Canis lupus familiaris: one gene and its partners. The protein of the gene in region 1 interacts with the protein of each later gene in a pairwise test. Links are inferred from orthologs where the notes say so. Each region holds a gene or a part of one and is shown on either strand. Other genes may lie near its edges.

Region 1 (10,205 bases):
AATACACTAAGAAGGAATAACCAATAAGAAGGGGAAGAACTAGAAAGATGTCCTAGAAGCAAGGTAAAGAAAGTATTTCAAGAAGAAAGTAATGATGAGGCAGCAAGGATTCAGAACTGGCCACTGGTTTTGTTAACTTGTTATCTTGAAGACTGATTCCAGCATAATCATAAAAAAGAGTGCCTGACTGGAATGAGTTCAAGAGAAATGGGAAGTCGGAAAGTGGAGACAAGGAATACAGAAAAGTTTTGCTGGGAACTGGAAGAAAGAAATGGGATGGTAGCTGGAGGGAACATGGGGTAAGGGAGCATTTCTTTTAAGATGGAAAATACTTTACCCTGCTCAGCTGGGAATGATAAAGTAGAGAAGGATTTGGTAATGAAGCAGGAAAGACAGGACACCCATAGGACACCCACCCCTGCTGGGCTGGCAGGAGGGGATGGGCACAAATACATAGCAGATAGAAAAGCTGACTTTATGAGGGACCATAGACTTATTTACCAGTGTAAAGATACACTGCAGGATCTTGCACAGAGACTAGTCCACAATAGGGCCCTCAAAAAATGAGTAAACTAATGTATTCTTGAACAAGGGCCCTTCCTTTTTGGACTAGGCTATGAAGAAAATGAGAGATTGCTTCATACAAAGTAGATATGCAACCCGATATTTACTGAGAAATGAGAATCACTCAGGAGCAAAAAAGGTTAAGGCAAAGAATAGAAAAGAAGAATGGAGATTGCAGTATGATTTCAGACCAGAATTCACATCTCAGGAAGCAAAATAGAAAAGGAGGTAATGGGAAAAATGTTTAACTGACTAACCAGTATTACTACGTAAGCACGAGAGAGCACACACACAAGAAGCCACCAGGAAAAGAATGAGAGAAATGAGCATCAGTAATGTCCAATCAGATGACTGGATCAATGCACTCATCATGATCTTAGAACAATGTAATACTGGACAATGACCAGAGATATGTTACAAAAAGACTCTCCAACCAGCCTGGGATCTACTGAAAGCTCTTTGTCATGGTTATTGCCTCTGGGATTGCTGCCTGTGCTTTACTCTCCTCTCTAGAGCCCAGGAGAAGGTGTGGTCTGCCATGACGTCCACCTGCTCCTCTGGGACATTCTTACTAACAAACACTCAGGCCACCAGAGTCCCTGCCCACTGAGGATCTTCAATGTCAGTCATCTCCCCACCCACCCTCGTGAGTTCAGAGAAAGTGCGAAGCAGCAGTCCCTTGCCAAGAGATGGAAAAGCTCAACCAACAAACCTAAGACCCTTAAGGACAGTTTTGACCTTTCTATTATTTTTTATTTTTTAAAGATGTATTTATTTATTCATGAGACACATAGAGAAAGAGGCAGAGACATAGAAAGACAGAGAAGCAGGCTCCTCACAGAGAGCCCAGTGTCCCAGACCCAGAATCACGCCCTGAGCCTAAGGCAGATGCTCAACAGCTGAGCTACCCTGGCATATCTATCCTTTCCTTTTAAAAGCAGTTTTAATACACAGAGAAATCTAAGATGATCCTATCAATACTCGTGTTTTACCTTGAGTAAAAATAGACCCTTAGGCGCAGCTTTAACTTTCCCAAGCACTGTGACATCATCTGGTGTCCAGACTGTGTCACTGGCCTTTCTAGGAGGGTATTTCACACTGCTAGATATTTCAACTGTCTAAAATGCCTGTTCCACTCCCCCACTCCACTCTGGGGAGAGTACAAGAACACAAGCAAGCCCACCTCTAGTGTCCCTCACTTCCTGTCATCACAGAGCCTCAAAAAAAGAGGGATAAGGGAAAAATCTCAACCGGAAGTGCTTTCAGAGAACCAAAGACAAACAATATGACAAAGTTGATTGTTATTGTCACCCAGTCCAGAAGAATAAAATCTTACTCAAGAAGCCAGTTTCAGTCTTGTATACTGCTTATGATAAAACATTAACTGGGAAGATAAGGCAGACTAAAAATACAAATGTATACTTACTTGCTAATCTTTGTAGGTCTAAGATCTTGTCTTGAATCTATCATTGGACGGCTGAGTTGTCTTTCATATACCACACCCATCATGCATGACCTGTTTTCCAGTTCAGGTTTTTAGGTTTTTTGTTTGTTTGTTTGTTTTTTTTAAGATTTATTCATGTATTTGAGAGAGAGAGAGCAAGAGCGTGCTCATGCACACATGCAGGGGATAGGGGGAACATGGGGGGAGGGGGGCAAATCTCCAGCAGACACCCTGCTGAGCCAGACACGGGGTTTGATCCCACAACCCTGAGATGACCTGAGCCAAAACCAAGAATCAAACGCTTAACTGAATGAACCACCCAGGTGCCCTCTCTGGTCCAGGTTTCTATAAAGAAAAACGAAAACCTGAAAACATTCATGAAGTGATCTATGTGCAGAGTCCTTTTAGACTTTTAAGACTCTTCTCCATCCTTCGCAGTTTGCTTATCCATATAATTGAGCAGTAATTTCTTTTAATGACTTGAAATTATTGAGTCATTCCAAAGAATTTAGAATACTCACAAAACCATTATTTTTGAACTCAAATCTCACATGCTTATATCATATTTAATTACACTACATAATTACAATAACAAGTAAGATGAACATACACAAATACAGGAATAAATACAACTGACTCTATGTAAGCACAGGACTGATTGGGTTGGGGGTGTATATGAGACCCAGTGGCTCACAGAATAACAAGGGTATTCAGTATACCAAGCTGGTTTAAATGGAGATTGGGTAAGAGACTGTCTACTGTGTATCAGTAGGTTCAAAGTACAGTAATAAATATGTTATCATGAATGCCCTAAACCTAAAGGTTTTAATTTATCAAAATGTTGATAACAATTAGTAAAACTTTGAAGTGGGGGGAGTTTCCTGCTATTGATTCTTGTCTACTCACAGGAAAAGCAGTCCAAGGTCTGACGGAAAGGAACACACTCTGTTCATGCTGTTGGGCCTGTTCTTCTGTTGCCCCCTCTAGACTCTAAACTCCCTATATGTAACAGTATCTCAATAAACTTGCTCTGTAAACTTGCCAACTTGCCAAATATGTTCACACATCCTAACCTGGATCAGTGTTTCAACTGTCACTGCTGGCATATAAAATCTTCTGGGGCTGAAAAAACAGAATGTTCGAAGGTTTGATTCCAATATTTTCTATCTCTTTCTCTTTACATTGTATGTATGTTTCCTGACACTGGTTAGTTAAGTTTATTAACCAGGGTCTCTTTATTCTTACATTACTATTGTATTCATGCTAACAGTATTCTGTAAGCTATTCTATCTTGATTAAAGCCATTGCTTCCCATTAAAAAATAAAATTGGGTTGAATGTCCTATTGAATTTGAATTTCACATTCCCACAATGTGTGGCAGTTAATACTTCCAGTTTCTGGCACTTCTATTGAGAACATAAAAGTTCTCCCGGAACTAACAAATTACTTCCCTTCTAACATAATTATGTAATCTGAGAGCTGAACGGCACCCTAGAGATTATTTTGTGGTCCAAAATCCCTCCCAATTAAGGGATCCCATCAAAAAGTACTCAACTTTTTTGGGCAGAAAGGGATATTTATCTTTAAATCTCACATTATAGAATGCTGCACCCATAGTAGGCTCTTAACACATACTTGTTTAATTGAACTGAACAAGTCTAAAATGGGTGCATTTCATTAATTTTCTTGTCCTTTCTGGGCTTTAGCTGTAACATCCACCGAATCTGTAATTAAAAATTTGCATGAGGGATCCCTGGGTGGCGCAGCGGTTTGGCACCTGCCTCTGGCCCAGGGCGTGATCCTGGAGACCCGGGATCGAATCCCATGTCGGGCTCCCAGTGCATGGAGCCTGCCTCTCCCTCTGCCTATGTCTCTGCCTCTCTCTCTGTCTGTGCGTGACTATCATAAAAAATAAAAAAATAAAAAAATAAAATTCAGATTATTTTTTAAAAATTTGCATGAAACAAATAAATAATAAATAAAAATAAATTTAAAAATTTGCATGAATCTTCTGCTCATTAACCAATGATCAAAAAGAAATTCAAGAGAGAAAACTCCACAATCAGCCAAATGTCTTAACATTAAGTCTGTTAATGTTAGTAAATAACAAAACTAAGAAAAAATAGAAAATCAAGTCTTAGTTTGCTTATGATCTATGAAGTTTCCAATTTATCCAAAATACTCACATGTTCTCAATTTCAGTATGATTTTTTTAAACAAATAGTCTTGCATCATTCATACAACTAAATTATACACCCTTCTACTTATAATTGGGGTGCTCACAGACTTAACCACAGTACTGTAGTAAGACATGTTATTATGCTAATTAATTTTCCCTCCAGTTAAAACAGACTGTGATCCCATCTGATTTCCTGTAATATGATATGAAAATGAAAAGAACAAAGCCTCTGGAGCAGTAAACACCACCAAAAATTTTACTTTACTCAAGTATATATTCCAAAACTGCATCATTCACAGCATGGCCCTGCTTAGTACCCCATTACAATGCATCTGTTTTGGGGACTTTTAAAATATATGATAAAATATATGATAAAACACGAAGTATACATTTCCAAATTCCCTCTCCTTCTGTTTTGCTGAAAGGGAACACACACACACATAGTCCCTCAACAGCACAATTACTGCTTGACTAATTTTTTTCAGGCAATAATTTAAAGTCCCACTTCCTCCTAAACATCTCTGGACAGCAACTCTTGGCAATCCATCTGTCTCTTTCATCACAGCTTCTTTTCATAACTAACGGGTCAAGTTCCTTTCCCCCCATTTCAACACGATGCACTGTACTTGCAGCCCTGCCACTATAGCCCGCTGCTGAATGCCAGAATATAGCATATTGAATTTCACTGTCCTTCATTGTTTCCAGTTTAACTGCCATTTTACCACCATGCACAGGAGAGAAACGCTTTCCCACAGGCATCTTATGAATTTCCAAAGCAGCTACTCTTTGTGGATTTACAAAAACGTTTGCCTTCTCTAAATTCCCTTTATCACCACAAAAACGGCTCTGGCAAGCTGAGATTTTCTTTTCTTTCTTTCTTTTTTTTTTTTTTTTTTCTTTTAGGTACTCCATGCAAAAAAGAAACTGATTCTAAGCATGTCCATTTTGCTAGCAAATTCAATCCTTAAGAGTTTCCGATAGGGCAATGTCAGGGCACAGATCTTAAACATGGCTTTTGGGCTTCCCAATTAAAATGAAGTATTTTCAGGTCATAAAGATTCTCTTATCGAACGTCCTTTCTTCTCAGCTACACCAGAAAGGCTACCCAGCGCATTGTAAAATAAACAAACAACTGGCTCTGGCGTCTGTACAACGCCCTAAATCTCCCCAACCACCCCCATGGGCTCACAGACACACGTAACCCCTCGGCCACCCCCAAACCTGCTCCGGTAGTGGACTATTTCTCTGGCACAAAGGGCCGGCCTGCGCCTCGTGCACGGCGGCCTCTGCACACATGTGCGGGCTGACAAGTGCGGGGCCGCCCTTCCTGGAGCCGACGCCGGAGGCCCGGCCCCGAGGCCACACGCTGTCCCGCACCCACCGCCTTCTCCCGGCGGCCCCCGGCCCCGTGACAGGCGGTCGGCTCCCACGCTCCCCCGGCCTGACCCGTGCTCAGGCCGCGCGGGGCCACGCTCGGACCCGCTGCCCCTCCGCCCACCGTCCGTCCTCTTTCCTCCCTCCTCCGCTCCGGCTCAAGGAATTCCGGCGGCACTTCCTTCGGGCCGGGAGGGGCAGTCCTGCCCGGGGCCCGGCACACCCCCGGCCCGCGGCCGCGCCCCCCGCACCTCGGCCGGCTCCGGCGACCCCCGGCCCGCCCGGCCGGAGCCTCACCTCCTCCTCGCTCTCGCTGCGGAAACACAGGCACGCGGCCCGCTTCTTGTAGCCGTCGCCGTCATAGGTGCGGGTCTGGTTCGACTTGAGCTTCATCATCCTCCGGGCCCGGGTGGGGGTGCGGTGCGGGTCGCGGGAGTCGAGGGTGGGGAGCCCGCTCCGGACGGCGGCGCGCGCGCGCGTCCCCGGCTCGGCCGAGGGAAGCAGGGAGGGGGAGCCGCTTCTCCGCTACACGGCTCGGCCGCTGGCCCGCCACGGCTGCCTCATTCCCCCCGGCCCAGGCCCCGCGCCGCCGCCGCCGTCACGGCTGCCGTCGCTGCTGCCGCCACGGCCGCCGCCCCCTCTGCCGCCGCCACCCCCGACGACGACCGCGCCGCCATCTTGGGCGCGCTGCGTCAGCGGCGTAAGGCCGCGCGGGCCTGCGGGACGGCCGCGCGCTCGCAGCGCAGGCGGCGTCCGGGAATCGCACCCTCCCAGTCCGCGCGGCGTAAACGAGCGTCTGGAATGAAAGGGCCGTGCGAACGGAGGCGGCCGCCACGCCGGGAGCGGAGGGGTGGGGAAGGCGGGGCGCGCGCGGAGGAAGTCGGGGGAGGGCGGGGTGCGGGCGCGGGGTCGCCCGGGGCCGCCGAGAGGTGCCTCTCTAGCCTCGGGGTCGCGGAGGGGGAAGCGGGGACTTGCCCAAGGTCGGGCCGCCCGCCTTGGCCTTGCGGGTTCTCTGGGAGCGGGGAAGGGGAAGGTTTGGAGGAAAAAGCCGGATGCGGTTAAACGCTGTGGAGCGTCCACGGGATTTACCCAGGATCGGGCACTGCGCGGCCCCGGGCGAGAGGAGGCTGGAGGGAGGGGCGTTGTGCACAGAGCCTGGACCTCCAGAGCGCTGGGAGTCCTGAGCACCGGGGCACCAACGTATTCATCCCGCAGCCCTTGACGGGTGCAAAGACAGATGCTTCCTGTTAAGGTAAACAGGAGGGCCAGACAAGGAAGATACATGTGTATGTGCTCTACACACATAATGCAAATTGTAAAACATCCTTATTTCTGGCACTAAACGAGGACTTTATAGTGTGGACGTCAGATTCTCCAGAGAAAATATATAGCAAGACACAGGAGCAAGGGAAAATGAAATATAACCTGTGAATATTCCCAGCAGCCCAGACCAAACATAATACCATGCCCATTCCTTGAACGTGGTGTAAAACCTGTGCGGGATTTGTCTGTGAGTTGCTTATTGCCCTTATTTAATTTGCTTGTATTTAGCACATAAAAAAATCAGGTTTTGAAACCAAGCCTTTGTTGGAATCTCGGTTACATGTTTTATTTGCTTCTATTTTTTGTCTGGCAATTAGTCACTTAATACATTGCAAATAATATCAATGGCATTTCACCTAATCCTAGCCACATAAAATGTGGAATTTCAGTTAATTTGGGTCAATCTTCATGCAATAGAATTCCCAAAATCTTGGTCATTTTGGTTGCTTTTCTAATTTTCTCTTCTGCCATTAGGTCTCTAAAAGGAAAGAAAAAAAAAAGTTCTGGCTGTAGAAATCCTGTAACATGATCATTGTCAAAATTTTGAAAAATACAGAGGGCATAAAAAACTAAATCATGTATCTTTGAGCACATTCTATAGAGATCTGTAGCCTGTCCCCCCCCCCCCGTCTTTCCCCTTATGTTATCTTTTTTTTAAAAAAATACCTTTCTAATTACTACCTGATAGCCCATCATAGGGATGACCATCAATTATTTTATATTTTCCTCATTGTTAGAAATTTAGATGGTGTCCTCTGTTTCATTAGAACAGTAATGAATGTCCCTGTATATAAATCCTTGTCCCTATTTCAGATATTCCTTTAGGATGAATTCCTAGAGGCAGATCAAGGGGGTAGGAACATATTTATGGCTCTTGCTACCTCTTGCCAAAGCCTTCCCAGAAAAGTTGTCTGAGTACAATCATTCCAGCAGCTAGACAGCTACATGGTACTATCTGCCACTTTATTAGGGTTGAGAGAGCAGAATTGCAAATGGTATTCCAGGTCTCAGTATACCAGGGTAAGCCTTTGAACATGCTTCCCTGGTGTCCAGAAGGCTCTAGGCTCTTCTTCCAATACCCTCACCTATTCCATTATCCCTCCCCACGTACCCAGAGAAGAAGCCAAATTATATTTATCCTTTAAAGCTCAAAAGTTGGGGATCCCCCGGGGGGCTCAGCGGTTTAGCACCTGCCTTTGGCCCAGGGCGCGATCCTGGAGTCTCGGGATCGAGTCCTGCGTCGGGCTCCCAGCATGGAGCCTGCTTCTCCCTCCTCCTATGTCTCTGCCTCTCTCTCTCTCTCTCTCTCTCTCTCTCTATGTCTATCATAAATAAATAAAACTCAAAAGTTCCCTCCTTCTGACTGCATAACTGCCTCTATGCTTCCTACTGGCCTGAGTTTGTCCTGCTTTATCACATTGTCACATGGCATTGTCACTTTCTTTTTTGCCAATCTCATATTTCAAATGTATTGAAGTCAGAGTCTGTGTCTCACTCATCCTTGCTTATTTCACTCAGCAATTTTCCCAGGACCTAACAGAATCAACCTTGAAAACATTTTATTAGTGAAAGAACAACTACTGCCCGTCCAGAACCTGATCTTGAGTATAAAGCTTAATCACTTGTCCACAGGAACACCCCACACGACACACCTAAAATCTGGTCCTCTGAATGAAGATCACATAACATTATCCTGGCCCAGCATGTCAGAAATCATCTGTAATAACTTTTAGTGTGATCTTGGGTAAAATGTTAAACAAAATACAGAAAATTGTTTTGTTTTTTTGTTTTTTTTTTTTAATTTTTATTTATTTATGATAGCCACACAGAGAGAGAGAGAGGCAGAGACACAGGCAGAGGGAGAAGCAGGCTCCATGCACCGGGAGCCCGATGTGGGATTCGATCCTGGTTCTCCAGGATCGCGCCCTGGGCCAAAGGCAGGCGCTAAACCGCTGCGCCACCCAGGGATCCCCAGAAAATTGTTTTTCACAAGTGCCTTACTCTGTCTTGTTCCTTTAACATGCCTTTCTCTCCTCCCTCCCAGGACTACCTTGTCCATCCCCTCAAGTCCCCCAGGAGCACCTACTGGGTCTGATCTTTGCTCTTGTACAAGTTACCTATTAATGCATAACACATCTCCTCAAAACTTAGTGGCTTAGAACATGAATCAGTTATTATTTCTCATGATTTCTGTGGGTTAAGAATCCTGGAGTGGCTTGACTGAGCAGTCCTGCTCTGTGTCCCTTATAAGGTGAGCAAGCTGGTGTTGGCTGGTCCCACTGTCATCTGAAGACTTGACGAGCTGCAGGACCCGCGTCCAGGGGGGCTCTCTCACATGGCTGACAGGTAGAAGAGGCTCTGTGCCCTTTAATGTGAACTTCGTAGGGCTACTTGAGCATCCTCACAACATGGTGGTCAGATTCCTCTAAAAGCAAACAATACAAGACTCAAAAACTGAATGAATTGCAATGCCTTATATGAACTGGCCTTGAAAGTCACACTTTGTTAGTTTCACAGCTTTCTATTGACCACATTAGTCAGCCTGACTTAGTGTGGGAGAAGATTATACCTTGTACCAGAAGGCAAGGATCACTGGGGTCGGGACACCTGGATGGCTCAGTGGTTGAGTGTCTGCTTTCAGCTCAGGTCCTCATCCCAGAATCTGGGATCGAGTCCCGCATTGGGCTCCTTGCAGGGAGCCTGCTTCTCCCTCTGCCTATGTCTCTGCCTCTCTCTCTCTCATGAATAGATAAAATCTTCAAAAAAAAAAAGAAAAGAAAGAAAAAATCACTGGGGTCCATAGTTAAAGCTGCCTGTCACACCTCATATAAAATTTACCTGGTCTCTAGTTCATTCATTCATTGCCCATATATCCCAGGCAGTGTACCTAACAGAGGGGAAGGAGGTAAGAGATAATGCTTGAGAATAGGCTACCCTTCCAAGGATGATAGTGGGTGATAATAGATTTAAATAATCTTTTTTTAGAAAGGATTTTATTTTTAAGCAATCTCTACACCCAATGTAGGGCCTAAATCCACAATCCTGAGACCAAGAGTCACATGCTCCACCAACTGAGCCAGCCAGGCACCCCTCAAATAAATTAACAAATACATAATTCTAAAAATGTTCAATTTTCCAAAAGTCTTGTAGGTAAAGATCTAGTAAATAACATTTCAAGTCCCAGGGCAAGTCTAGGGAAAATTTTTAATAGGATTACAAAATTGACCATATTTACTCATCCTTTCCATAGGGACAGTCAAATTTTGGCCCATGTTTTCCATCTATTTTGATGCTACTATATTTATCACTATGTGATTGTAG
Region 2 (10,216 bases), on another chromosome or scaffold:
TTGTCAAAATGTCCCTACTACTCAAAGCAATCTATAGATTTAATGCAATCCCTTCAGTAAAATAGCAGAATTTTTCACAGAACTAGAACAAACAATCCTAAAATTTGTATGGAGCCAAAGAAGACCCTGAATAGCCAAAGTAATCCTGAAAAAGAAAAAGCAAATCTGGGTGTATCACAATTCCAGACTTCAAGTTCAATTACAAAGCTATAGTAAAAATAGATACATAGATCAGAACAGAACAGAAAACTCAGAAATAAACCCACAACTATATGATCAATTAATCTTTGACAAAGCAGAAAAGAATATGCAATGGGCTGGGATAACTGGTCAGCTACATACAGAAGGATGAATCTGGACCATTTTTTTACACTACACGCAAAAACAAATTCAAAATGGATGAAAGACCTAAATGTGAGACTTGAAACCATAAAAATCCTAGAAGAAAACGGAGGCAGTCATTTCTCTGACATCAGCCATAGCAGCATCTTTCTAGATATGTCTTCTGAGGCAAGGGAAATAAAAGCAAAAATAAACTATTGGGACTATATGAAAACAGAAAACTTCTGTACAGCCAAGGAAACAATAAAACTAAAAGGCAACCTATGGAATGGGAGAAGATATTTGCAAATGACATATCTGATAAAGAGTTAGTACCCCAAATCTATAAAGAACCAATACAGCAAAAAGCCCAGAAAACAATTACAAGATGGGCAGAAGACATGAACATACATTTTTCCAAAGAAGACATACAGATGGCCAACAGGTACATGAAAAGATGCTCAACATCACTCATCATCGGGGAAATGCAAAAAGCCACAATGAGACAGCACCTCACACCTGTCAGAATGGCTAAAAGAAAAAATACAAAACACAAAAAGTGTTGGTGAGGATGTGGAGGAAGGGGAACCCTCACACACCGTTGGCAGGAGTGCAAGCTGGAACAGCCACTGTGAAAGACAGTATGGAGGGAGATTCCTCCAAAAGTTAAAAATAGAGCTAACCTACAGTCCAGCAATCACACTACTGGGTATTTACCCAGAAAATACAAACACACTAATTCAAAGGGATATATGCACCCTGTGTTTATTGCAGCATTATTTACAATAGCCAAGTTATGGAAGCAGCCCAAGTGTCCATAGATAGGTGAATTGATAAAGATGTGGTATATATATGTATATCATACAATGGAATATTATTCAGCCATAAAATGAATGAAATCTTGCCATTTGCAACAACCCGGATGGAACTAGATAGTATAATGGTAAGTGAAATAAGCCAGAGAAAGGCAAATATATTATTTCACTCATGTGGTATTTAAGAAACAAATGAACACAGGAAAAAAAAAAAAAACAAGACAAATCAAGAAACAAGATTTGTCTTAACTATAGAGAGCAGATGGTTACCTGAGAAGAGGTGGGTGGGGGAATGGGGGAAATAAGTAAAGGGGATTAAGGGTACACCTATCTTGATGAGCGCTGAGTAATATGTAGAACTGCTGAATCCCTATGTTCTATACCTGAACTGCTGAATCCCTATGTTCTATACCTGTCTGTCAACTATACTGGAGTTGAATAAAAAGCAAACCCAAACCAGATGAATAAATCGATGGAACAAAATAGCATTCCCAGAAATAAGCCCGTGCATGTACAATCAATTAATTTACAAATGAGCCAGGAATATACCATGGGGAATGGACAGTCTCTCCAACAAATGGTGCTGGGGAAACTGGACCACTCTTATAAAATACACAAAAATCAACTCATAAGTGGATTAAAGACTTGAGCATAAGACCTGAAGTCATAAAATTGCAAGAGGAAAACGAAGACAGTAAGTTCCTTGGGCAGGGGAGGAGGGGATGTGTTGACACCAAAAGCAAAAGTAACAAAAGCAAATATAAACAATTGGAACTACTCCAAAATAAAAAGCTTCTGCACAGCAAAGGAAACAGCCAAGTAAAAAGGCAACGTATTGGATGGAAGAAAAATATCTGCAAATCATAGATCTGACAAGGGGTTAATATCCAAAATGCATAAAGAGCTCCTATAATTCAATTACAAACAAACAAGCTGATTAAAAACTGGGCAGAGGCTCTGAATAGTCCTTTTTCCAGTGACGACATACAGGTACATGAAAAGGTTCTTGACGTCATTAGCCATCAGGGAAACACAAATCAAAACCCCTATGTGATACCACTTCAAGCCTGTTAAAATAAGTGTTATTAAAGACAAGAAAACACAAGCATTGGTGCAGATGTGGAGAAAGGGAACCCTGTGCGCTGTTGGATCAGTCACTCTGGAAAACAGTACGGAGGTTCCTCAAAACATAAAAAATAGATTTACCGTATGATCCAGCAATTCCATTTCTGGGCATTTATACAAAGGACGTGAAAACCCTAACTCATGATGGGGTATTTTCTTCCAATATAAGGCGGTTCCATCTACATGGGTAACCTGGGTTAGCACTTGCTACATCAGCACTTGTCGCTTCACCTGGCACACCTACATTTGGGAGGTGGGTTCTTTCCTGAAACCGTATCAACCAACCTCTGCTGGGTTTTCTTCTGCAGCGTCCTCACGTCCAGCCTTCGTGGAGTTGAAGAGAGTTCAGGCCTTGCTCTGGATGAGGCTTTGGCTTACGGGAATATTGTGGCTGGTTTGCTTTTCCATCTAGACCTCTGCAACCTTATTATCAACAATAAAGGCTGTTTGCTTTCTTATCATGTGTGTGTTTGCTGGGGTAGCACTTTCAGTTTCCTTCAAGAACTTTTCCTCTGCATTCACAACTTGGCTAATTGTTTTGTACAAGAGGCCTAGGTGTTTTGGTTTTTTAAAATTCATTTTATTTGAGAGCTTGAGCACAAGTGGGGGCGTGTGTGCAGAGGGAGAGACAGACTTCCTGCTGAGCTAGGAGCCCCCAGGACCCTAAGATCATGGCCTGAGCTGAAAGCAGACCCTAAACCTACTCAGCCACCGGGGCACCCCTAGCTTTTGATTTAAAGTGAGATGTGGGGGACTCTTCCTTTCACTTGTACACATAGAGGCCATTATAGGGTTATTGATTGGCCTGATTTCAATATTATTGTATCTCAGGGAATAGAGAGGCCTGAGGAGAGGGAGAGTGATGAACACACACATTTATCAAGTAAGTTTGAGGTCTTAGGTGGCTGTGGTTTATGGCGCACCCAAACAATTAGAACGGTAACATCAAAGATTATTGATCACAGGTCACACCATTACTAACACTGGAAATGATGTGAAATGCTGCAAAAATTACCAAGGAGGACGCCAAGACACAAAGTGAGCAAATGCTCTTGGAAAAATGGCACCGATAGGCTTGATTAAGGCACAAATCTTCAATTTGTTAAGAAAAAAAAAATCTGCAAAGTGCAATAAAGTGAAATGCAATAAAAGAGAATTAATGCAGAAACATTTTTACTATTTAGACATTTTCAGAACTTTATTGCAACTTGGTGGAAAATGAACTTAGATCCTATAGATTACAAGTTCCAGACTTAAAGTCTCAACAGCAGAACAGAACAAAAAAAAGAGTATGTTCTGGCTTTTGGTGGAGAAATACATCCTGACTATCTGAGAGTGAGGAAACACTCTCGGAGTATGTATTTCTGAATATATAAGAACTTAAAACTCTTCTGAATATTGAGATCAAACAACGGAATGGAGAAAACCTTACCAAATAAGCTAATTAGGAAATATCTGCTCTCTCATGTTTGAGAAATACACACATGTCTATATATAGACATAAATACATTTATAAATATGTGGTTTATAAAAATATAGGGTGTATACAAACGTACATTCTATACTGAGATCCAGATGAAACTTTGTCAAGGAAGAAAAATCAAAGAAAATACGAAGGTAGGACACCAGCATTGTCATAGGAAAAAATAACACCCCACAGCAACCAGATTTTTAAAATGTGCATTTAATACAGAATGCAAGAAACTTGCAAGAAAAATGCAAGAGCCTCATTTTGGTCAACAAGTGGCAATGAGGGTGCGAACCCACACTGCTAAGCGGCTTGAAGTGTCATTTCAGGCCTGGGGTTGGGACTCCCCAGGCACTTTGGTCAGAGGGAGTTCAAACTCCCGCTGGATGCAGCGCCCGCGGTCTAGACCGGAGGAAAAGATCCGAGTCGTCCAGGGGAGGGAGGTCAATCCTTCTGCGCCCTACTGGTCCTCAGGTATATCCGCCCCAGGTAAATCCCGCTGATGCCCCTTAGGGCAGCGCAAACTAACTTCTGCGTGGAGTCTCCGGGTCAGGGCGGCCCGAGAAACCCGGTGACCAGGCCACCAGCAACTTCGACAGACTTCAGCCTTCCAAGCCGGGCGACCGGCTTTTTTTTTTTTTTTTTTTTTTTATTTATTTATTTATGATAGTCACAGAGAGAGAGAGAGAGGCAGAGACACAGGCAGAGGGAGAAGCAGGCTCCATGCACCGGGAGCCCGACGTGGGATTCGATCCCGGGTCTCCAGGATCGCGCCCTGGGCCAAAGGCAGGCGCCAAACCGCTGCGCCACCCAGGGATCCCCGACTGGCTTTTCAAAAGCAAAACAGGCTACACCTCACTTACTCGGTGGCTCCCCCGCCCCGCCCCGGACTTAATCGGAAGGCGGTGCTTCAGTCCCGGGGCGGGCCTCGGAAGGGAGGGAGCGCCGGCTCCGCCCGACACAGGGGACCCGGGGGAAGGGGGCGGGGAGCTCGAGCGCCACGGGACCCCGCCTGGCCGGGCACCGCGCCCAGCAGCTCCGCGGCGACCCTCCACCCCCAGCCCGGGGCTGCAGCGGGACCCCGCCTGGCCGTGCACCGCGCCCAGCAGCTCCGCGGCGACCCCACCCCAGCCCGGGGCTGCAGCGGGACCCCGCCTGGCCGTGCTCCGCGGCGCCCCCCCACCCCCAGCCCGGGGCTGCAGCGGGACCCCGCCTGGCCGTGCACCGCGCCCAGCAGCTCCGCGGCGACCCCCCCCACCCCCACCCCCGGACCGGCCCGAGCTGCAGCGGGACCCGCCTGGCCGTGCTCCGCGGCGCCCCCCCACCCCCAGCCCGGGGCTGCAGCGGGACCCCGCCTGGCCGTACACCGCGCCCAGCAGCTCCGCGGCGCCCCCCACCCCAGCCCGGCCCGGCCCGGAGCTGCAGCGGGACCCCGCCTGTCCGTGCACCGCGCCGGCGCCCTCCCGCCCCCACCCTCCAGCCCACAGCGCCCGGCCGGGTCGGGAGCTCCAACGTGGCTCGCCGTGCGCACGGCTCCGGGCCCCGGCGCGGCGGAACTACAACTCCCGGGTGCCCTCGGGCGCCCGCCCCGCCCCCCGCCCGCGGAGCCCCGCCCAGGTCGCGGGCGCCCGAGTCTCGGGGTGTGCGGGCGCGCGGCAGCAGCGGGAGGGCGGCATGGAGCCCCGCACCGCGGACGGCTGTTTCCTGGGCGACGTGGGTAGGTGCGGGCGCGGGGGGCGCGGGGGCGCCGGGAGCGGGGGGGGGTGGTGGCGGGAGCGGGGGCCGCGCTGCCCCCGGGCGGGCAGGTGCGTCTGAGGACACGCGCGCGGCCGCGGGGACGCGCTGCCCCAGGGCGCGGGCGGGGGCGTCGGGGCGGGCGGAGGTCGGGGACCCGCCGGGTGCCCGCGAGCATCTCGGGCTCCCAGCCCCCGGCCGGCGCGTTGCAGGGCTCGTCGCGGTGGTGGCGCGCCAGGCGCGGGACATCCCAGCCGCAGACGCACCTGCGCACCAAGCACCTTGGGGAGGGCCGGGCAGGTCGCGGCCAGGCTCAGCGCCCAGAGGTGCTCGGTGAGGGAGCCGCAACGTCTTCCAGCGGCCTGCGGGGTCGGGGCGCACCGTCACTAGCATCCTACAGGTACACCCGGCCAGGACCCAAGGCATGCGCTCCGGGAGGAGGGGGTGCCCTTGTGACAGGTCACCCTGTGTGTTTAAGAAAAAAAAAAAAAAAGTCCATCTAGGTTCTTCCCTGCATCTTGCTTCTAATATTCTGGCTACGGAAGAATAAAATAAATTCGAGGGCAAAGGGACATTCTCTGGGGGAAGCAAACATCCCTGCCCATGAACTAATACTACAGACGACACGTGCCCAGAACGCACTTTGAAAACCTGGAAGAAAAAAAAAAAATCTAAAGTACTTTTACACTGGTTAAAAACAGCAGTGCCAATAACGCTGAGGAGTCTTAGGAGTACGTTTGGTCTGAGAGGGATTACTGTCTTAGCAAGGCAGGTATTTGAGTTGATCTTGCAAAACAGCCACCGTCAACAAGATCAAAGGCGTTGAACAAGTGTCTGGTGTTAGCTGGCCTTCCACCCTGGGCACGCACAAGACTTGGACCTCAGCACGATCTGCGTTTGGTTCAGTTAAATAAGTGATGAACAGCTAACCAGGGTGGCCTAGGCACAGTTTCCTTATTTTTGTTCACACACAATGCTTAATAACACAGCATTTACTTCTGAGCGTTTTTGTTTTCGCCTGGTTTAGGGAATCTTGAAGAGAAAAGCACGCTCCATCAATGGATTTACAGCTTCTGAGGCTCGTGGATGTTTTTGACACTCATTCTTTTATTTCCTCTAAAAAAATATGTCCCGATGCTTTTCTTTTCAACACTAATGAATCCGCTGAATGTATTGAACCTGGAAGCCTGCTATCCCAGCAGAAGCAGAGGCCCACTGTAGGAACTGGTAACCCATTTTAACATTCAGATCTGAAAGTCTAGATGCATGGTATATTTCAAAGCATTAGATTTTCCATTTTTTCAATAGAACACCTCACAGAGGTAAAGAGTGTGCTTATTAAGGCCATATTGTAAGGCTCTGCAGACAATTTAGGGCAAGTCACCTCCTTTTTTTTTTTTTTTTTTTTTGGCAAGTCACCTCCTAAGTGAATCCAGAATTCGTAACTCAGCAAATGTAATACAGGTTGTAGCGGACCCAAGGTAAGTGCCCATTTGCACAGTTGAAAACGTGATCCCACATTTAGGATCTGGACCCAAGAGTTGTACCTGAGAGGCTAGCAGAAGACGACAAAGGGTACCTTGAGGACTAGGGTGCTCTAAGCTAGGTGAGCCAGTTTTCTTCAGTCATCCTTGGCCAGGAACTCCAAACACAGCCCACTACTGTCTGGGGTATTCAGAGGGTGAGATGGAAAGAGAAAGGAGAGTGTTTCTGGGACCACCGTAAGAGCCTGGAGCTGCTAGGTTATATGCCAGCACTAGCCGCGAACCCTGGGGCAGCTATGGACAGTCCTTATTGAGTTCATGCAACTAGAAAGAAGCAAGGCTGAGGTTTAAACCCAGGTGGATTTTTTTCTGGGTTGCTTGTTTGACGCTAAAAGGCTCACGCCCTTCCCATAAAATACATTAATCTCTAATCAGTTGGTAAGGTTGAGTGTTTTCTCTGAGCAGTTAAGTCTCAAGAGTGGGCTTAAAATATTCAGTAAACTGTGTTGGAAACATTCGCGTGCTCACCTAGGCTTTGTTGTTCACTTATGAACACAGGAAGAGTAGATTTAGCATAATTCTTAAGGGCCTTAGGATTTTTGAAATGTTCAGTGACCATTGGCTTCAACTTAAAGTCTCCAGCTTAACAGCTCACGAGAGAGCCTGTCTGTCCCCTGAAGCCAGGCTTTGACTTCTCTCTAGCTGTGAAAGTCCTAGATGGCATCTTCTTCCCATAGAAGGCTGTTTCATCCACACTGATAATGTTTGGTGTAGCCACCATTAATTTTCTTAGCTAGATCTTCTGGACCGCCTGCTGCTTCCCCTTGCACCTTTGTTTTGGAGGTGGCTCCTTTCCTTAAACCTCACAATCCAACCTCTGCTGGCTTCCAGTTTTTCTTCTACAGCTTCCTCACCTTTCATGGAATGGAAGAGAGTTAGGGCCTTACCCTAGATCGGGCTTTGGCTTAAGGCAGTGTTGTGGCTGGTTTGATCTTCTCTCCAGACCACCTAAACTTTCTCCATATCAGCAGTAAGGCTGTTTCATCTTATGAATGTGTTCACTGGAGTAGCACTTTTAATTTCCTTCAGGAACTTTCTTTGCATTCACAACTTGGCTGTTTGGTGCAAGAGGCCTAGCTTTCAGCTGGTGTTAGCTTTCCACATGCCTTCCTTTCCGAGCTTAATCATTTCTAGTTTTTTTTTGTTTTTTTTTTTTTAAAGATTTTAGAGTGAATCTATGTGAGTGGAGGAGGCTGCAGAAGGGTAGGTGAGAAGGAGAGAGAATCTCAAGCAGACTTGGTGCTGAGCAGGGAGCCTGCAGTGGGGCTGATCTCACAACTCTGAGGTCGTGACCTTCACTGGTATCAAGAGTCGGATGCTGAACTGACTGAGCCACCCAGGCGCCCCTCATTTCTAGTTTTTTTTTTTTTTTAAATTTTTATTTATTTATGATAGTCACACAGAGAGAGAGAGGCAGAGACACAGGCAGAGGGAGAAGCAGGCTCCATGCACCGGGAGCCTGACATGGGATTCGATCCCGGGTCTCCAGGATCGCACCCTGGGCCAAAGGCAGGCGCCAAACCGCTGCGCCACCCAGGGATCCCTTTTTGGTATTTTTTTATTGGAGTTCGATTTGCCAACATATGGTGTAACACCCAGTGCTCATCCCATCAGGTGCCCCCCCTCAGTGCCCGTCACCCAGTTACCCCGACCCCTCGCCCACCTCCCCTTCCACTGCCCCTTGTTCGTTTCCCAGAGTTTCATTTCTAGCTTTTGATTTGAAGTGAGAGATTGGGGGGGGGGGGGGGGACTCTTCCTTTCGCTTGAACACATAGAGGCCATCATGGGGCTATTAACTGGTCTTAATTTCAATGTTGTGGGCTTAGGGAATGGGGAGGCCCGAAGAGAGGGAGACTGGGTAACAGCGGGTTGGTGAAATTAGAACACACACATTTGCCGATTCAGTTCACCATCTTATGTGGGTGTAGTTTGTGGCACCTGCAGACGGAGACCATCTGAGGTGATTGATCGATCACTGGAACAGATGTAATAGTTGGGAATATTGCAAGAATTACCAAAGCATGACAGACACAAAGTGAAGCAAACACCGTTGGAAAAATTGCAACACAGAATTGCCACAGGCCTTCAACTCGTAAAAAAAAAAAAAAAAAAAAAAAAAAAAAAAAAAAAGGCAAAAAACCCCAAAAAACAAATTATCTGCAAAGTGTAAGACATCGAAGGCTCCCTGGCCTTCCTGAGCTGCCTCTCCCTTTTTGCTGCAAGATTCAGGGCCTCACACCCTGTTTTCCTCTTTGTAGGGTTGCAACCCTTCACACTACTCCATTGGGTTTTCCTTCTTTCGGACCAAATTTACAGTGAAGGCCACTGTTCACTAACCCCCAAGACAGGCATGCCAGGGACAGGTGATTACTACTGGGGAAGCAAGTCCCCTTCCTTTTTTTTTTTTTTTTTTTTTTTTGCAAGTCCCCTTCCCAAGGCAGTATATAGAAAGCCCCACAAGCTCGGCTCTTATATTTTGTGAGAATTGAATCTTCCTGAGTTTCAGCTCTCCTTTTGCCTCTACCCCTCCCTCCCACCCCACATATGATCAGGTCCCTGTTTACTAAGAGCCACCATTTGGCGAGCACTTTGTGCCAGGCCTCACACTAAGTGCTTTTGCTTACTTTAGCTCACTTTACAGTTTATTCAGTGGTGGATTATGAAAATTATCAACAACCCGATTTGTAGGTGAAGAAACACTCGGGGGGGGGGGGGGCAAAGTCCTGCAGAAGCTAATGAGTGGCCAAGTTTCAGATGCAGCAGCAGAGAGCTCTCGGCCCCCATACTTTCCTGCCCCACGGTGGAGGCACTGGGCCAGCTTCGTAGACGGCCATCAGCACGTAAATGAGGAAGTTCTCCCTTGGCGGAGGAGAGCAAGTCACCCCACTTGGGGTCTGTAGGAGTGCTCCGGCAAGATTTGTGGATGGACTGGTGGGTTAGGTGGTTTTCTAGGGGAATGTAATAAGACGTGTAATGTGATAAAAGACAAGTGCTATTATGAAGAGGAATGGGATCTTGCCTTTGAAGTAGGGGGCGTGATAATAAGGGTGGGTCAGTATTAACCCAGCATTGCCATTTAGGACTTTTTTTTTTTAAGCCTAGTGCCTGGAAGATGCCACTGTATCTTAGGTAATGGACACTGAGAAAACATAGCTGTAGTGTGTGCATTCAGGTAGGTCAGTCTCGGGCTAGTTTGTGTGCTTTTGTCT
Region 3 (10,166 bases), on another chromosome or scaffold:
TCTTTCACTTTAATTAGAGTATTTCTTTTCCAAAAGGTGGTTTTAGAATTTCATGTGTAGTTCTCTCATTTTTAGAAGAAAGAAGAAAAAAAAAGTGTAACAGTTGACAGGAGCTTTGGATTTTCTTTTTTTTTTTATCCCATTGTGCAACACATTCGGTGACAATATGGATTGTTTTAAAAATTGTTGTTCTTAGATGGTTTGTTAGTGAGCAAGTCTGTTCCTAAAATTCTCCCCTACACCTAATCCTGGCTCCTTGCTGATGCAAGATTATACTTAAAAAGGGAAGGGTGAGCCAGCCATGGACCTGGGTATGCCCTGAGTGGCCAAAAGAGAGTTGAACAGAGTCTTAGGAACAATGGAACTTTTTAAACAAAATAGCAAGTATGGGGCAGCCCCGGTGGCTCAGCAGTTTAGCGCCGCCTTCAGCCCAGGGCATGATCCCGGAGACCCAGGATCGAGTCTCACATCGGGCTCCCTGCATGGAGCCTGCTTCTCCCACTGCCTGTGTGTCTCTTGCCCCTCTGTGTCTCTCATGAATAAATAAAATCTTAAAAAAAAAAAAATAGCAAGTATGTTTGGTGAACAATCAGTAGTGTGAAAACCAGTCATGAGAAACCAAAGCTGCTGCCTGATTGCAAATGACTGGCAGGGAGGAGGTTTGAAGGGCAAAGGCTTAGGCTTGCTGGACCATGGGATTCTGAGAACCAGGGATACCAGCTGTGTTTTTTGTACCTTACACAGAAGGGAAATAACATCTGCATACCAGCAAACATTGATGGGCAAGTTCATCCCCCAGTATAAACTAGGTATTATTCCCATTTTGCAGAGGAAATTAAGAGTCAGGGAAACTAAAAGGGGAGTATAACTGGGCGGACTTATATATATATATATATATATATATAAAGATATAGAGGCAGAGACAGGCAGAGGGAGAAGCAGACTCCCTATGGGGAACCCGATGCGGGACTCGATCCCAGGACTCCGGGATCACCTCAGCCAACGGCAGATGCTCAACCACTAGGCCACCCAGGGTCTCCTGGGCAGACTTTATAATTCAAAATCAAATGAATGTTAGCATCTCTACACATGTAAGTGGATCTCCTTGTTTGAATATCATTCTTTAGAAAGGTATTTAGATTTTTACATTTAAAAGATTTCTTTTCGAAAGCTAGACCCACCCATGAGGCCATGTTACCACTTGAGTATTACAGAAAACATTTTCATTGTAGTTTGGATAACTGAACTTGATACTTATATCCCAATTTACCACTTAATTTTCAGCTGTTCTAGATACAGTTTTCCTTTATCTTCTTAAGTGTTCTTTAATCCGTTCAAAATATTTCCTTGGCTAAGTGTCCATATTCCCTTCTGACACTTCAGGGCTCACCAGGCACAATTCCTGTCATCTCAGATCTCTAGAACCCAGTGAGGCAGGTGTTGTCCTTAGACACAGGACAGGAGAAAGGAGCAGAGGCACCGGGAGAGGAGCAGTCGGAGCCTGTCTGAATCCTTCCACTCATTTACTAGCCTTTACCTCAAGTTAACCTCTGACCCATGACATGGTCTTACCATGGGATTGTTGTGCAGAGGACAGGACATGCTTGAGATCAGCACAGCACTATTAGCTGATGGAGGAAAATTAAGTACTTAAGCTCTTCACCCAACGTGGGGCTTAGAACTCTTAACCCCAAGATCAGAGCTGCATGCTCTACCTAACCATCTGGGAACCCCCACAATCACTTTATGACCCATTCCTCACATGCTCAAAGGATTCTAATACATGAAAACTCCAAAACTTGAATACCAGTAACATCTAAACCTTAAGAATTCTTCTATATCCATAGCTCACTTTCTCTGCTGATAATTTGGGATCACTGGTTTTCTGGTTGATGGATCTTTGAGGTTTTTGCTTTCAAACACTGCTTTTAACATTCCCAGAGATGCACCCAGATGTCCATACTTCCTCTTGGGTAATTATAGGAACAGAACTGCTGGATTAGGTGTTCAATTTTGTAAGGTACACCAGCTACTTACCCATGTGGTGGTGTAACTTAACACTAATGGTCTTATACATCTTTCACTGGAGGACAGTTGGGGCTACGAAGTCTTTTCATCAACTCCTGGTCTCTCTTAAAACTGGGAGACAGAGGAAAGGGTTAGATGTTCAGATGCCTGGCACTAATTGCTCTGAGGACTTTTTTATAAGTCCAAATAGGGGTTCCTCTGACATTTCAAAGTGAACCAGTCTCCACACCAGTGCTCAGCCACCCCCTTCCCTAAACCCTACTTAAGTCAAATACAGGTTTGAATTAGTTTTAGTCTCTGTAAATGGGGACTCAAACCTGAATTTCCACTACTCCTTCACAGTATTGCTGAATTATAAACCCAGGGATATATCAGTATTCCACTTCAGATGGTTCAGCATAGCTCAAAAATTTGTAGCCAGTAGCCAGAATTATACTTGGGATTTTTTTTTTTAAATTTTTATTTATTTATGATAGTCACAGAGAGAGAGAGAGGCAGAGACTCAGGCAGAGGGAGAAGCAGGCTCCATGCACTGGGAGCCCGATGTGGGATTCGATCCCGGGTCTCCAGGATCGCGCCCTGGGCCAAAGGCAGGCGCCAAACCGCTGCGCCACCCAGGGATCCCTACTTGGGATTTTTAAGATTTTATCTATTTATTCTGTAGACACACAGAGAGAGACAAGAGACACGGGTAGAGGGAGAAACGCTCCATGCAGGGAGCCTGGTGTGGGACTTGATCCCAGGACTCCAGGATCACACCCTGGGCCGAAGGCAGATCCTCAACCGCTGAGTCACCCAGGGATCCCCTATACTTGGGATTTAAGAGGCCTTGATTGTACCACCACTACCACTGACTCTTATTCCTGTCAAAAGGGACAGACCTGGTTATCATGAACTCAAGGTGACCCTGACAAGGCATCTGCCCTTCTCCTACCTCTCCATGCAGTTCTAGAGGCAGTATTAGGTACATTCTTGGTGCAGCACCTGGCTGGTGTACTATTCCTCACCATGAGGTGATGGCAGGGGGGTAAACTCAGCTGGCGTCATACCAATAAAGGCTAAAAACCAGTGTTGCAGAAATGAGATCACCCTTACACAGAACATCCTCAAACAACTGAAAAACCGACAGCAACCAGGACTTCAGCTTTTTATTGAGCAGCTTATAAAAGTTTAGTCAAAGAGACCAAAGCCCATGTCATCATCAGACTCCTCAGATTCTTCTTTCTTGGCTTCCACTTTTTTCTCCTCAGCTAAAAAACAAAAACAATAACACACCTTGTCAGTATTTTAAACTCCAACGAGCTCCAGGCCCTTCAATTTACATGGTCAAAAATACCCAAGACTTCCAACTATGTCCCTGGTTTTAGGATTTCTATCGTCTACTCTTTTAGCAAACTAAGTATTACAGACAGGATTGCTCTTAATCTCCACGCTCCTCCCTCCAATACCAAAAAAGTTTTCTACCTGGGGCAGCAGCGGTGGAAGGAGCAGGACCTCCTGCTGGCGCAGCGCCAGCTGCTGGGGCAGGTCCACCAGCTCCTACATTGCAGATGAGGCTCCCAATGTTCACGTTGGCCAGGGCCTGCAACACACGTGCAAACAGATTACACTCAGTTCTGGCCTTTTGTTGTTACAAACCTCCCACCTCTAAAGGGAGGTAACCTTTACCTCCCTTTTGAACTGACAGCAATCAATCCCCAACACTACATTGCCCTTCCTTCTCCTTTGCTGCAATCTGCCAGTGACATTTTGTCTGCTGAGATTTCCTAGGACTTAGGGACACAGAGCTATATTAAAAACTAATCACAAGAAAACCTACTCAAGCTTAAAATCTTAGAGTAACTGAATTCCTTCCTTTTATAGAGGAGAAAAACTGGCCGCAAAATGCTGGCTTCAGTTGTTGGCAAAAAAACTCAAGCTTCCTTAAATACTCAAACCAAGATTCTTTCCAGTTCCACATCTTAAGAGTGAATTCAATTTTTCAGACTGCGAAGTCCAGGGACTTTACTAAAGAGGAGTACCTTTATTGAAAGTACAATGTTTTCAATCATTCAAAGCTCTTTGGAGGACACAACCTGGAGAGACAAAGCTAATTGCCTCTTACCAGAGACTAAATAATATGTAATAGAAAATGATACCAAGTTCCTTGGGTAAGAATCTTGTCTTCATTGATCTTTTGATATATATCCCAACAGTCAATGTTCAAAATAAGGGCCACTACATCCAATTTCCATGAAACCCGGTTCTGAGATCTAAATGTTCATGAGGTTAAAGAGTTTGACAATTTTATAAGGGACAGCTCTGCCCCTGGTTCACACCAATTCATGACCATGTCTCTGTAGGGGCAGTTGGACACTCATCTCTGGGGCCTGTCACTGCTGTTTTTACCATTTCATTGTCGCACAAATTAGCTATGAACTAATGGGAGTCCTAGCTCTCATACAATATTCCTCTTCTTACATATAATACAGGACGCCGATCTCAATGGTTATCCTAATGCGAATGAAAAACGATTTAAAATCTTATTTCCAGGAGAAATCCTTGATTAAAAATTAACTTTGGACATTGAGAAGAATCAGCACTTAAGAATCATAATCTGTGCTTAAGGGCTAATTTAGCCCCAGTGGGGATGCAAGTTACACTGTACTTTTATTTTTTTCTGATGGATCAATAAAATTGTTATGTATTTAAAAAGAAGAATGGAAGGGCATAGGCAGTATTACCTCCTGGGTGACTCTTTTAAGGAGTCATCCGGTGGGTGTGTAACATTTATGTATACATGTACATATATATGTGTGTGTGTCATGATTTCAGAACAGAAGGAAAAAGAAACCAGACTGCAAACAAGGAAAAGACAGGGGGACGTGTGGGGTAGCTCAGCGGTTTAGCCCCTGCCTTCGGCCAAGGGCGTGGCCCTGGAGACCGGGGCCGAGTCTTGCATTGGGCTCCCTGCATGGAGCCTGCTTCTCCCTCTGCCTGTGTTTCTGCCTCTCTCTCTCTGCATCTCTCATAAATAAATCTTTAAAAAAAAAAAAAAAAAAAAAAGGAAGTTAAAGACAAATTTTAGACTCTAGATATGGAACTATGAGCCGTTCTCGTGTTACAAGTACACCTGACTTTGTAAATCCCTGATCTCCCCAAGTCTGCTTCTCCAAATCACTCTACTGCCATTTCCTTACCTTTGCAAACAAACCCGGCCAGAAAGGCTCAACATTCACACCCGCTGCTTTAATGAGGGCATTGATCTTATCCTCCTAAAAAAATAATTTAAAAAGTTAAAAAAAAAAAAAAAAAACCCGCATTCCACGAGCAAGCAAAGCGCAGTTTTCGGAAACGTCTCCAAACCACTACAACTGAAAGTAAATCACTCAAAACGTGTGTCCAGAAACCACGTTTAACCGCACCAAATACTGTGTCTGTATTTCGCGTACGTTTATTTAAAACGAAAAATTTCTCATGACCCTTAGATCACCGGAGACGCAGCGGCCCCCGCGTGCCGGGCACCTCGCAGGGCGGCAGGTGCAGCAAGCTGACGTGCGCTCCATCCGCATCCCGCAGCCTGGCCCGGGGAGGCCGTCCGGGCAAACGGGTCAGGATGTCTGCCCGCCCGCACGTGGGCCCGCCCGCCCCGCCAGCCAGCACGCACGTGGGCACGCACGCACGCGGGCCCGCCCGCACCGCCCGCCGGCACGCACGTGGGCCCACCCGCACCGCCCGCCGGCACGCACAGGGGCCCGCATGCACGTAAGCACGCACGTACGCACGCACGTGGGCCGCCCGCACCGCCGCCGGGACGCCGATGGCCGCGGCTTCGTCCGGAAGGGCCTAGCAGGGCGCCCCGCCAGCGCACGGAAAGCGGCCGGCCGCAGGCCGACGCCCGCCCGGGCCCGCACTCACCGTGACCGTCACCTCGTCGTCGTGCAGGATGAGGGCCGAGTAGATGCAGGCGAGCTCCGAGACGGAGGCCATGGCGAGGGCGCGTGCCGAGCGCGGTGCTAGTCGCCGGCTGAAGTGAGGGCCTCACCCCAACGCGGCCTTAGCTTCCTCGGAAGGACCGAGCACCTTAGCGGCAGCTGAGGAAAGGAGGTCCCGCGCCTGCGCGCAGCGTCTTATACGAATCCCACGGACCAATCGGCGCCCGCTCCTGGCGGAAGAGGCGGGGCGAGAACGCGCCTGCGCACACAGCGCGACACGCTGGTGAGCGGGGTCAAGAGGTTATCAGGCACCTGCGGCTGCGAATTCTCTTGGTTGGGGTAAAACTCGGGGCTCCTGAGACAGTAAAAATACTTTTAGGAAAAAGTGACCTGAGTAAATAGAGTTCACCCCAGGTAGTGTATCCGGGGTCACGCTATTTGGACGTTTGATGACGTCACCAGGCTGCGGCCCCCCCCCCCCCCCCCCCCCCCCCCCGCGCCCCGCGGGCTGTGAGCACCTGGAGCTCAGCAGCTGTCTGCGGGGAGGTCTCAGGTGCTTAGGACAACGTCCCAGAGAAAAAGCTGCAGGAGGAAAAGAGAAGCTTGCAGCAGCTGCAGCAGCAGCATCCGAGCGCCTACCGTGCCCCGGGCGCTGAGCCGCGGCCTGCCGGGACTCCCCGCATCCTTGCACAGCGCAGGGGGTGAGTACTGTTAGGGACCTACGTATTAGGGATCTACTGGGAAGGAAGGGGAGCTTTCCGTGACAGTTGCATTTGGTATAACGAAGGCACTCCGTGTTTGGGTGGAAATGCCTCGAACGTGCCCTTAAGATACCAAAGATGAGTTGAAGCAACCTCTCTCTGTGTAGGTGCTGCATTGCCACTTTGTATCTTTTGAAACTTAATAAAATCGGTGTTGGATTCGTATTGAGAGTTGTTGGGCTTTTTCTTTCTTTTTCTTTCTTTTTTTATTTTTTTTTTTTTGAGGTATGATTGACATGACATTTTTTATTTCCGGAGTATAGCATTATGATTCGCTATTTGTGTGTATTGCAAAAATGGTAAGTCTTGGTTAACATACATCACTATACATAAATAGCCATTTTTAAGGTCTGCTTTCTTGGCAGCCTTTAAATATGACACACAGTCCTATTAACTATCGTCACCATGTCGTACGTTACACCCACAGTGACTTTTAACTTCAGGTTTGTAATTTTTTACCCCCTTCGCCCATCCCATCCCTCCCTCTGGCAACCACCAATCTGTTCTCTCTTTTTTTAAAGATTTTATTTAGTTATTCATGAGGGACACACAGACAGAGGCAGAGACACAGGCAGAGGGAGAAGCAGGCTCCATGCAGGGAGCCCGACGTGGGACTCAATCCTGGGCCTCTAGGATCACACCCTGGGCCAAAGGCAGCGCTAAACTGCTGATCCACCCGGGCTGCCCTCTTACAGGTTTTTGATTTGCGATCACCACTGGATTCATGTATAACATTTTATATATATTGCAGTCTATATTAAGTTTGAACACATTCTAAAAGCTCTAAATTTTTACTCTCCCTTCACATTTTATGTATATGATGTCGTATTTCACATCTTTTTATTTTGCGAATGCTTTGGCTAATTTTGTAGATATAATTGATTTTACTACTTTTGTGTTTTAACTTCCATATGGGTTTTATAAGGGATAAACCTACTACCTTTATTGTATGTTTGTTTTTAGTTGTGAAATTTTTTCCTTTCATAATTTTCTTCTAGTTATGGCCTTTTTCCAATTAAAGAATCCCCCTTAACGTTTCTTATTAGGCCAGTTTAACTTTTGTTTGTCTGGGAAGCTTAATCTCTCCTTCATTTCTGAGCAATAACCTTGCTAAGTGAAGTATTCTTGTTTTTTTTTTTTCCTTTTAGCCCTTTGAATAATATATCATGCCACTTTCTTCTGGCCTGCATAGTTTCTTTTTTTTTTTTTTTAAGATTTTATTTATTTATTTATTCAGTGAGAGACTTAGGGAAAGAGAGAGGCAGAGACACAGGCAGAGGGAGAAGCAGGCTCCATGCAGGGAGCTTGACATGGGACTTGATCCCAGGTCTCCAGGATCCCACCCTGGGCTGAAGGCGGTGCTAAACCGCTGAGCCACCCGGGCTGCCCAGGCCTGCATAGTTTCTGTTGACAAATCAGCTCATAGCTTTATGGGATTTTCCGTCGTAACTTGTTTTGCTTCTCTGCTTTTAAAATTGTGTCTTTATCGGGATCCCTGGGTGGCTCAGCAGTTGAGCATCTGCCTTCAGCCCAGGGCGTGATCTTGGAGTCCTGGGATCGAGTCCCACGTGGAGCTCCCTGCATGGCTCCCTGCATGGAGCCTGCTTCTCCCTCTGCCTATGTCTCTGCCCCCCCCCCCCCCCCGTAGCTCTCATGAATAAATAAATAAAAATAAAAAAATAAAATTGTGTCTTTATCATCACTTTTTGCCATTTTAATTATGTGTTTCAGTGTGGACCTCCTGTGTTCACCTTGTTGGGGGCTCTCTTTCCTTTCTGAACCTGGGTGTTTGTTTCCTTCCCCTAAGTGGTGAAGTTTTCAGCTGTTTTTTCTTCAAATGAGTTTTCTATCTTTTCTCTCTCTCTCTGGCACTCCATGATGTGAATACTATTATACTTGATGATGTCACAGCCGTCTTTTCTCAGGTCCAGTGAGAATCTTTATGACCATTACTTTGCATTGTTTATCAAGAGTATTATCTGTTTCATTTAGCTCTTTTACTGTGATTTTGTCTTATTCTTTGATTTGGGACATATCCTTGTCTCCTCGTTGTGTCTGTGTTTTGTGTATTAGGTAAATCCGCTATATCTCCTGGTCTTGAAAATAGTGGCCTTGTGTAGAAAAGGTCTTGTGGTGCCCTGTAGTGCAGTCCCCCCACCCCCCACCATGGTAACCAGAACCAGGTGCTCAAGAGGTGTCCCCTTTGTGGGCTGTGTTGTGGCTGAGCTGCCATTGCCTTCAGCTCTGCTAGCTTCCCTTAGCTGCACCGCCTGCTGTGGCATCCTCAGAGTTTACTGCCCGCTGTTGAGAGGCCTCTGCAGCAGCAGTGGGTTTCATTAGTGGACAGGACTGACAGTCCAGCTGTCTACACTTAGCCTATATGCCTCAGCTGTGGGCACACCAACAGCCAAGGCTTGCTCCGTGCAGTCAGCTGAGAGGCTCAGCTGCAGGAACTGTAGGCATGTTGGTGCATGAGCTTATTTCCACCGTGCCTTAGGACAGGAGTCACTTTGGAGGGACACCTGGGGGCAGTTGGATTGGACAGGTCTGCAGGAGAACACCGGGGTGTCAGATGGAGAAGCAGACTCCCCCACGTGGGGCACGATCCCAGGACTCTGGGATCATGACCTGAGCCACCCAGGTACCCCTATCTTTCATTGTATTAATGTGATATATTTGTTGATTGGCATATATTGAACCATCCTTGCATCCCAGAGATAAATCCCACCTGATCATGGTGTATAATTCTTTTTGTGTCCTTGAATTCAGTTTGCTAATATTTCATAGAGAATTTTTCCATTTATATTCATTAGGGATACTTCTGTTTTTTTTGCTGTGTCCTGGTCTCACTTTGGTATCTGACCTTATATAATGAGTTTGGAAGTATCCCAGCCTCATCATTTCTTTGCAGGAGTTTGAGAAGGACTGCTGTTAATTGTTCTTTGAAGGTCTGGTGAAGCCATCTGGTGCTGGGGTTTTCTGTGTTGGGAGGGTTTTGATTACTGATTCAGTCTCTCTAGTCATTATTCATCCTTTCAGATATTTCATTTCTTCTTAGGCTTGGTGGATTGATGGTGTGTTTCTAGAAACGTACCCATTTCTTCTGGGTGTCTAATTTGTTGATATGCAATTTTTTCATAGTAGTATGTATGTATGTCTGTAGTATCAGTTGTAATGTGTCCTTTTTCATTTCTTCTTTGAGTTTTTTTATCTTAATCTGGTTAAAGATCTGTTGATTTTGCTTACCTTTTTAAAGAACTTTTAGTTTTGTTGATCCTTTCTATTTCTCTGGTCTCTATTCCATTTATTTTCGCTCTGATTTTTTTATAAGATTTTATTAATTTATTCATGAGAGATACACAGAGAGAGAAGCAGAGACGTAGAGGGAGAAGCAGGCTCCCCTCAAGGAGCCCAAGGTGGGACTTGATCCCGGATCCCAGGATCATGCCCTGAGCGGAAGGCA

What was found.
Region 2: the proteins of NUDT3 (region 1) and ASB13 interact in a two-hybrid assay, tested with the Homo sapiens proteins (2 studies listed by BioGRID and IntAct). The link is inferred for Canis lupus familiaris from reciprocal best matches to the Homo sapiens genes NUDT3 and ASB13.
Region 3: the proteins of NUDT3 (region 1) and RPLP1 interact in a two-hybrid assay, tested with the Homo sapiens proteins (2 studies listed by BioGRID and IntAct). The link is inferred for Canis lupus familiaris from reciprocal best matches to the Homo sapiens genes NUDT3 and RPLP1.

The regions. Positions count from the first base shown.
Region 1 is NC_049233.1:3,859,966-3,870,170, forward strand, and holds the start of NUDT3 (diphosphoinositol polyphosphate phosphohydrolase 1), read right to left. Parts: upstream 6,250-10,205; 5' UTR 5,958-6,249; coding exon 5,859-5,957; intron 5,809-5,858; exon of another isoform or gene 5,409-5,808; intron 1-5,408. UniProt on the Homo sapiens protein: Cleaves a beta-phosphate from the diphosphate groups in PP-InsP5 (diphosphoinositol pentakisphosphate) and [PP]2-InsP4 (bisdiphosphoinositol tetrakisphosphate), suggesting that it may play a role in signal transduction.
Region 2 is NC_049223.1:29,320,264-29,330,479, forward strand, and holds the start of ASB13 (ankyrin repeat and SOCS box protein 13), read left to right. Parts: upstream 1-5,317; 5' UTR 5,318-5,403; coding exon 5,404-5,446; intron 5,447-10,216. UniProt on the Homo sapiens protein: May be a substrate-recognition component of a SCF-like ECS (Elongin-Cullin-SOCS-box protein) E3 ubiquitin-protein ligase complex which mediates the ubiquitination and subsequent proteasomal degradation of target proteins.
Region 3 is NC_049251.1:33,774,662-33,784,827, reverse strand, and holds RPLP1 (60S acidic ribosomal protein P1), read right to left. Parts: upstream 6,134-10,166; 5' UTR 5,998-6,133; coding exon 5,926-5,997; intron 5,283-5,925; coding exon 5,208-5,282; intron 3,611-5,207; coding exon 3,493-3,610; intron 3,279-3,492; coding exon 3,199-3,278; 3' UTR 3,159-3,198; downstream 1-3,158. UniProt on the Homo sapiens protein: Plays an important role in the elongation step of protein synthesis.